Mus musculus: one gene and its partner. The protein of the gene in region 2 interacts with the protein of the main gene of each other region in a biochemical or structural test. Links are inferred from orthologs where the notes say so. Each region holds a gene or a part of one and is shown on either strand. Other genes may lie near its edges.

What was found.
Region 1: the proteins of Mmp2 (region 2) and Timp4 form a complex in vitro, tested with the Homo sapiens proteins (2 studies listed by BioGRID). The link is inferred for Mus musculus from reciprocal best matches to the Homo sapiens genes MMP2 and TIMP4.

The regions. Positions count from the first base shown.
Region 1 is NC_000072.6:115,249,366-115,253,282, forward strand, and holds the start of Timp4 (metalloproteinase inhibitor 4 isoform 1 precursor), read right to left. Parts: upstream 2,841-3,917; 5' UTR 2,414-2,840; coding exon 2,275-2,413; intron 1,113-2,274; coding exon 1,015-1,112; intron 579-1,014; coding exon 464-578; intron 1-463. UniProt on the Homo sapiens protein: Complexes with metalloproteinases (such as collagenases) and irreversibly inactivates them by binding to their catalytic zinc cofactor. Known to act on MMP-1, MMP-2, MMP-3, MMP-7 and MMP-9.
Region 2 is NC_000074.6:92,830,188-92,834,004, forward strand, and holds part of Mmp2 (72 kDa type IV collagenase preproprotein), read left to right. Parts: intron 1-433; coding exon 434-660; intron 661-1,497; coding exon 1,498-1,646; intron 1,647-2,576; coding exon 2,577-2,705; intron 2,706-2,881; coding exon 2,882-3,055; intron 3,056-3,817.

The DNA of each region.
Region 1 (3,917 bases), on a different chromosome or scaffold from region 2:
TCAAACAGTGGAGTTTCCCGGCTTGTTCACAACCATACCAGCACCTCTTTTCCTGAATTCCAAAATACTTCAGTATTGTATTCATTTATTCCAAGATTATATTCTTGGGGATATTGGATGGGTGGCTGATTTACTTTTCTGTCCCAATCAGTTCAGTATGGAGGAGGTTGGCCCAGCACCAGGTTCATGGAGGTAGAACTGTTAGGGTCAAGCTTATGCACAGGGCAAGATAAACACTCAGAAAACACATCCCAGAGATGTATTTGGGTTCAAGATACCAAAAATTGTGTACCATAAAACTTTCAATGGAACTAGGTTGGTAGAGCAACCTATCCTTAACATAGTGAAGTGGTGACCAGGATCACTAGAGCAGGGACTCCTGTGAATGGAAAGGGAGTTCACTGTTCCTCCTAACTAAAAGGCCATGGTCATGATCACAACTCTGTTTAGCCCCTTCACTTACCAGTCAAAAGATACTGCTTGTGACTGTTGGTTTCTAGCTTCACACCACAGAGGGAAGAGTCAAATGGCGTGTAGACATACTGAATATCCTTGGCCTTCTCGAACCCTTTAAACATCTAAAAGGCAGTTACAGAAGGGCAGCACTGGGTCAGGAGTGTAATAGGCATGGCAGCAGGTTAGAAACTGCTCATTTGTATCCAAACATTAAACAAAGCTCAAATTCAGACTTGGTGCACAGATGACCTTGCTGGCATTCATTCATTCATTCATTCATTCATTCATTCACTCAAGTCTACACCTTGATTTATCCCAGGGAGATGGGGAGGTCCCATGAACGAAGAGCTCTAGGACAGGATAGATAGCAAGTCCCCATCCTGAATAATCATTTGGTTCCCATGGGCCCAGCCCATACCAGCTCATATTCACTTCAGCACCTTCATAAAGAAACCAGAGTCCATTGCCTGACTCTTACCAGGTTCGTCCCTCCCATAGCACAAACCCCATCCCTTCATCAGCCCATCATGGTTCAGCCCTTGTCCTGCCCTCATGTACCTTTATCTGTTTGATTTCATACCGGATCAGTTTTTGAGTGTCAGCAGGGTCTTTGCTGGCAGGGACTACCTTCTCACTGGATATTTTGGCCCGTATCACTGAACAGAAAAAGGGAAACTTTAGCACTGTAGGAGTATGCCATCTGAGATCTGGATGGTCCGGGGTCCTCTGAGTGTCCAGGAAACTCTTGGTTCAAGTATTTTGGGTTCTTCACAGTATGGCACATTCGAGAGAAGGGACTTGGAATTTACTCTGCAGTGGTTGCCAGCTTTAAGCCCTTCAGGGCTATTAGGTCCTCACATTGTATTCTTTTGGCCTTTTAACCTATTGGTTTCCAGAGCACAAGTTCTCCGTAGCCCTGGTTGTAGTAAGAGTAGGAGTCCCTTCAAAGCAGTTGGTGTGGGACTCATCTGTCTATACATCTTAGAACCTCATAGCTCACTAAAAGTAACAGTAACAAATGTTCATTGAATTTGTAAATGTCCTAATTCTCCATTGAGGAGATTCATTTCTTTACATCTAATCAAGAACTGTATCTTATTTTATTTTTCAGTATTGAAGACTGAACCTAAAGCCACATTCATGACAGGCAAATGCTCTATCATTGAGCTACAGCCCCAGCACTGGAAAGTCTTTAAAAAAAAAAAAGGATTTTCCTCTCTGCCTGAACTTTCGCTAGGCACAAGGCTCATCGAAAGGGCTCTCACCCTGTAGAAGTCTTGATCTAATGGAGAATACCTTATTTAAAAAAGAAAAAAAAAAAAAAGCACCTACCACAAATAGGGAACAGCAAAGAATCAAGAAGCCTTCAGAAAATGAAGGGTGAATAGTAGTTGCCAGGAATTTAAAGTTGTGAAAGAAGGGTATCCAGGCAAGGGAAGACAAAGGTAGAAAGATGTGTCCTGTGGGGGCACCTTGGCAACCTCAACTGCAGGCTGGGAGACAGGTGTTATAATGCAAACACCCCTTGCATCCTGGAGTTCTAGAAGTTACTTGATAGCTCCAGAGACAGCTAGGTCCTACCAAGCTGAGCTGATAAAACTACTCGAGAGGTCCGTGATAGAATACTTCTACAAATCAGGCTTTGCACTTCCAAGGTCAATAAAGCAATACCCATTTCTGACTTATCAGCTGTTACAGGAGGCACCCATACATGAACTGAGCTCCACCCCTTCCCTCAGACTCCGGGTCTAAAGCTCTGCCCAACACCACGTTTCCTACTGGCAACCCCTGCTGTGGTCCTCAGGACCATGGACTCACCTAGAGCCGAGTGGCAGAAGTGCTGCTGGGGGTGCGCAGGCGCACAGCTGCACGCCTCACCCCGTCCAGGGGGCCACAGCAAAGCCAGCAGCCTCAGCACCAGCGCCCAGCTCAGCGCAGCCAGGGGACTCCAGGGCATGACACTGCAGAGCCCCAGCTGAGCTCGTGGGGTCTGCCTGTCGTAACAAACAGCCCCTCCAGGACTCCTCCAGAAAGCTTCGTGCAGCCCCAGTCTTTATGAGGTGGCTTTAGAGCCAATCACGCCCCCATGGGCTCCTCCCTCCTTTGGCACCAGGCCACCCACAGCCACAGGACCCAAGGCCCTCCTGACCAGACCAACAAACCCAGTTGGGAAGTTGCAGAGGGAAACCTGCAGATTCCGAAAAGAGCCTGGAAGTAGAGGAAGATTCTGCAGTTAGGGGCAGAGAGATAAAAAAAAAAAAAAAAAAAAAAGCAAAGACCAGTGAAGAGACTTAGAAAAGGCAGAGAGATGAGGGAGAGCACTAAGAGCAAGAGCTAGTGAAGGGAAGCATAGACACAGAGAGACACAGGCCAAGTCAGAGGCAGACAGAATTACAACAGGCAAAAGAGACAGTGACAGAGGAGGACAGACCCCTTGCTGAGCTGCATACTGGGAGTGAGACAAGCTACTCAGGGTTTCTTTCAGCTGCAGGAAGTGTTTTCAATGCCCTATTTACGAGGCTCCAAAGCAACAGCAAACAGTCAGGGAACAGGACAGAGAAAGTTGGGGTGTGTGTGTCTTGGCGCTGTCAGCCAAGGGTGGGGGTGGGGGCTGTGGGGGGTGGTAGGGAAGGATGTCAGAGAAAGTAGCCAGTGCTTTCAAACCCTTTCTTACAGCCAGTGCCTTAGTTAACCGCTACGGGGGGGGGGGGGGGGGGGGGGCGGGGGGCAGTTCTTTCTGTGGAGCTTAAAACAGGGGTGTCCTGTAGCTCAGGGCAAACTTTGGACCTCAGAGCGCCTACTGCACATCATTGCCCAGTGGAGACTGCCATGTTGCAGAAGGTGGAGCCGCTTAGCAAACAAGCCAGGCACTCATTGTGACCCAAGCCTTGTCCACTGTTTGTCAGCAAACTGCTCCAAGAATTTGAATGAAAAGAAGCTCGTGGAATGGCTGCCCGGGGAGGGTAGGAGGCTGGATCCTGATTCTGACTGCCATTGGGTCTGTTAGTGATCTGGGCCTCACTGGGCCCGAACTCTTTTCTCCATTAAGTAGGACTGAACTATACGATTTGTCCCGCTCTTCATTTTACATTTGATAGTGATGTTTGAAAAGAAAGGGCTCGGGAGAGAACGAAGTTAGAGAGAGGCAGGTGACAGGTCCAGGCTAATGTCAAGCTCAGGCCAAGAGTTGTCTCTTGGAGGGGCCTTAAAAGCATCAGCTCAGCCTTGTCACTTGGCAGATGTGAAGGCTGAGAGGCTCAGTACCATGAAGTGGCTGGCAGAAGATCAGTGGCCGAGAGAACTGGAATCTTCACCTGCTAGTGTGGCTTCCTACTCTCTCCCCACCATGCCATGGGTCTGTGCTACTTCTGCCTGCGTTTCGTTGCAGCTCAACACCCTGCCTTTGGAGGGTCCATGTTCCCTTAAATCTCACTCCTCTGATAAAACCGGGCTACTTTGGG
Region 2 (3,817 bases):
TTTGCCATTTGTGAGTGGTGTCCTCTTGAGCAAGTTTCTTAAGTTGTCTGATTTTTTTCTTAGATTCTTCCTCTTCCTCTGCACGACGGGGAGAGAGAGAGAGAGAGAGAGAGAGAGAGAGAGAGAGAGAGAGAGAGAGAGAGAGAGAGAGAGGGAGAGGGAGAGGGAGAGGGAGAGAGAGAGAGAGTTACATAAGCTAATATCTACTGAGTTATAAATTCAAGGAAATAAAAGGTGGTAGCTATGCCCTTTACAAGTGAATCACCCCACTGGTGGGTGACAGAACTCATTTGAAAGCCCAAGGCTCCATTCACTGTCTTTAGATTCCTGGTTCCATCCTGTCCCAGTTAGTGAATGTTTGGCAGAAGTTGGGGTTAATGGGCATTGCCATCCCAATGTGGATCCCGACTTTGAGAGTTCCTGTCTCTTTCAGCAATACCTGAACACTTTCTATGGCTGCCCCAAGGAGAGTTGCAACCTCTTTGTGCTGAAAGATACCCTCAAGAAGATGCAGAAGTTCTTTGGGCTGCCCCAGACAGGTGACCTTGACCAGAACACCATCGAGACCATGCGGAAGCCAAGATGTGGCAACCCAGATGTGGCCAACTACAACTTCTTCCCCCGCAAGCCCAAGTGGGACAAGAACCAGATCACATACAGGTGCCCAGGAGGGTCTGGGGGGACACAGAGTCAGGACCCTGAGGGATGTGTGCTTCCTTGGGAATTGCCTTCCTAGTTTAGGGGATCCATGAGGTGTCATTCCTCAGAGCTGAGCATTCAGGGACTTTGCATACAGAGTTCTTGATGTGTGGCTAGGTTTGAGTCTCATATTCACTAATGATTGAGGCACTGGTCTTACTCTCTTGCACTTAGAGTTGGTACCCTTGCCAATGAAACAGGGCTAAGAAATCTGCTCCTCATAGGGGCGGTTGAGGAGCTACATTAGATTAAATGTAAATCAAAGGTTTCCACAATGTTTGATACAGAGCAAGGGTCTACAAGTGTTGGTGATTGTCATTGTCATCTGGGTGGGTCACTGGGTCAAGTGGAGGAAGCTTGATGACCAGCTGATAATTGTGTTCTTAATCTTATAGTGGTTTTATGATTGGTTGCTAATTGAGCCAAGACCTCTCCTCTATGTGCCTGGTATCGATCAAGGGTGAGATCTCTGCCTTTTGTTTGATATTGTACTGTTTATTTCTCTGGTGCCCTTGTCCCAGACAGAATGAGGGATGAGAAGGTCTGAGATTGTAGAGACATCAAGGCAGTATAGGAGGGTGTTCTCAGTGAGTTTTGCTCAACACATCTGCTGCACGAGAACACTTGCACACACACACACACACACACACACACACACACACACACACACACACACACACACATGCACACACATGCACACACACGCACGCACGCACACATGCATGCACACACTCTATGCACATAGACACTTGCACAATTGCATATATGCACAGTCGTATGCACTTCTCCCCCTTCTAGGATCATTGGTTACACACCTGACCTGGACCCTGAAACCGTGGATGATGCTTTTGCTCGGGCCTTAAAAGTATGGAGCGACGTCACTCCGCTGCGCTTTTCTCGAATCCATGATGGGGAGGCTGACATCATGATCAACTTTGGACGCTGGGGTAGGCAGAACTGGGCTGGAGAATGGGGTAGCACAGAGACAACAGGGCTAGGTAGTCATTTGAGAAGCATGGGGATCCCGAGGGCAGCTTACTGAGAAGTGTAGACATCGGATGCTCATCAGATGGAGGTAGCAGAGCATGTTCCAGACACTGGAAAGCCACGGCTGTGATAGCAGAGGATGCAGTATAGTATACCCTGCTTGCAGCAAAAACGGACTGCACCCTGTAAATGACAGCCCCTAGATGCATATGGCTACTTGGATATAACATAATAAGAAAGACCTTAACAATTTAAATTCAGTAGTCCCAATAGCAATGCAGGAGGAAGTGGAATAGAATCTGGGGCCAAGCTACCATGTGAGCTGTTGGTATCTGGCAGCAGTATACGTATGAAGGCTGGTGGTATGGATATGAGTAGGTAAAACAATGAAGGTGGAGGGCATGGGAAAGGCAATGTGGACCTGGGGGTAAGTAAGGGAAACATTCTGTTACAGTAGAGTCCGAAGGCTAGCTCTGTGGATAGTGATGACTGTCTGGCATGAGAATAGAGCATAGTGAGGAAGATGGAGTTGATGGGAGGCCATGGATGCCAGGAAGGGATTGGGCTATCATGCTGTGGTGGCACTGAAGACATGTGGGTGGGTACAGTGTTCCTGATAGCAATGAACAGAGCAAAGGTCTATCTGTGGTGCAGGGGAGAGGACCATGTGTCCTCGAGGAGTATGGGCCACAGGATGGGAGCAACCAAGCGAGAGCTTTTCCATTGACTCCCAGTGATGCTTATTCCATAAAACCCCAGTAGGAAATGTGAAAGGGACAGGTATTTGGAGGGCTGAGGAACTCCAAACACAGATAAGGCTGTGGCTGAGCTTAAGGATGCAGCTGTGGGGGCAGGGAATGATAACAGCTAAGAGGCAATGTGGATTTCAGAGCATGGAGATGGATACCCATTTGATGGCAAGGATGGACTCCTGGCACATGCCTTTGCCCCGGGCACTGGTGTTGGGGGAGATTCTCACTTTGATGATGATGAGCTGTGGACCCTGGGAGAAGGACAAGGTAAGATAGCTTCCGTCAGCCTTCATTCCTGTCTCCTAGCAATCTAACCCCACTTTCAGCCCTTCATTTGCTCTGATGGGATCAGGGCAATGGGAGGAGGAGGGAACTCAGCTTTCAGGATGAGCCCATAGCGCAAGGCCCTGAGAGGTGGGTCTCAGGCTCTGTGTGTCCTGCAGTGGTCCGCGTAAAGTATGGGAACGCTGATGGCGAGTACTGCAAGTTCCCCTTCCTGTTCAACGGTCGGGAATACAGCAGCTGTACAGACACTGGTCGCAGTGATGGCTTCCTCTGGTGCTCCACCACATACAACTTTGAGAAGGATGGCAAGTATGGCTTCTGCCCCCATGAAGGTGAGCATCTGCCCTGGCCCCAGCCCTCACCCTACCCAGGCCCTCAGCCTAGCTAGGGGTACCTGCCATGCCTACATCCTCCACATTCCACAGGCCAGCCAACCTTCATCCCCTCATCTAAGTGTCCATTATCCTGCTTTCAGCTGTCACTGTGTCCCGCCTCTACTGTGTTGCTTTAAGGACAGGCACACATTCTAAGAAGTGTGTTGCTCAAGTTCATCGTCACTGTGTGAACATAGTATCCTGACACAAGCTGAGAAGGGAACAGAGTCTCCAGTCAGTCTGACCTCATGGACCACTGTCACATAGGACTCCCACCCTGTGTGTGTGGTCTGTTGTAGCTTAAATGCTATTTTTGTGGTGCACAACCATTTCTGCTTACTTTTTCATATTTAGATAAGTGACTTAGCTTTATTATTTGTGAGATTATGGATTTGATTTATTGATTATTTTTTCTAACATATGGGAGAATGATTTTGAATGTATCAACATTTTTTTGGAGGGCCACTTTATACTTCATACAAACTCTATGGTTCAAGGCCAGGAGGCCAGGAGAAGAGAGACAAGGCCTAGAGACAGATGAAGAGCTTAGCAGTGGGAGAGGAACAAGGCTCAGTCCAAGCTGGTACCTGATCCAAGGAGGATCTTCAGTCTGAGAATATTAGCCATCCCTCCCAAACTGGGCCCACTGTACCAAAGAGAGTCACTTAAAGTGGTCAGAGCTATGCCATCTGACTCTGCCTTCTGTCCCTGTGCCAGGAC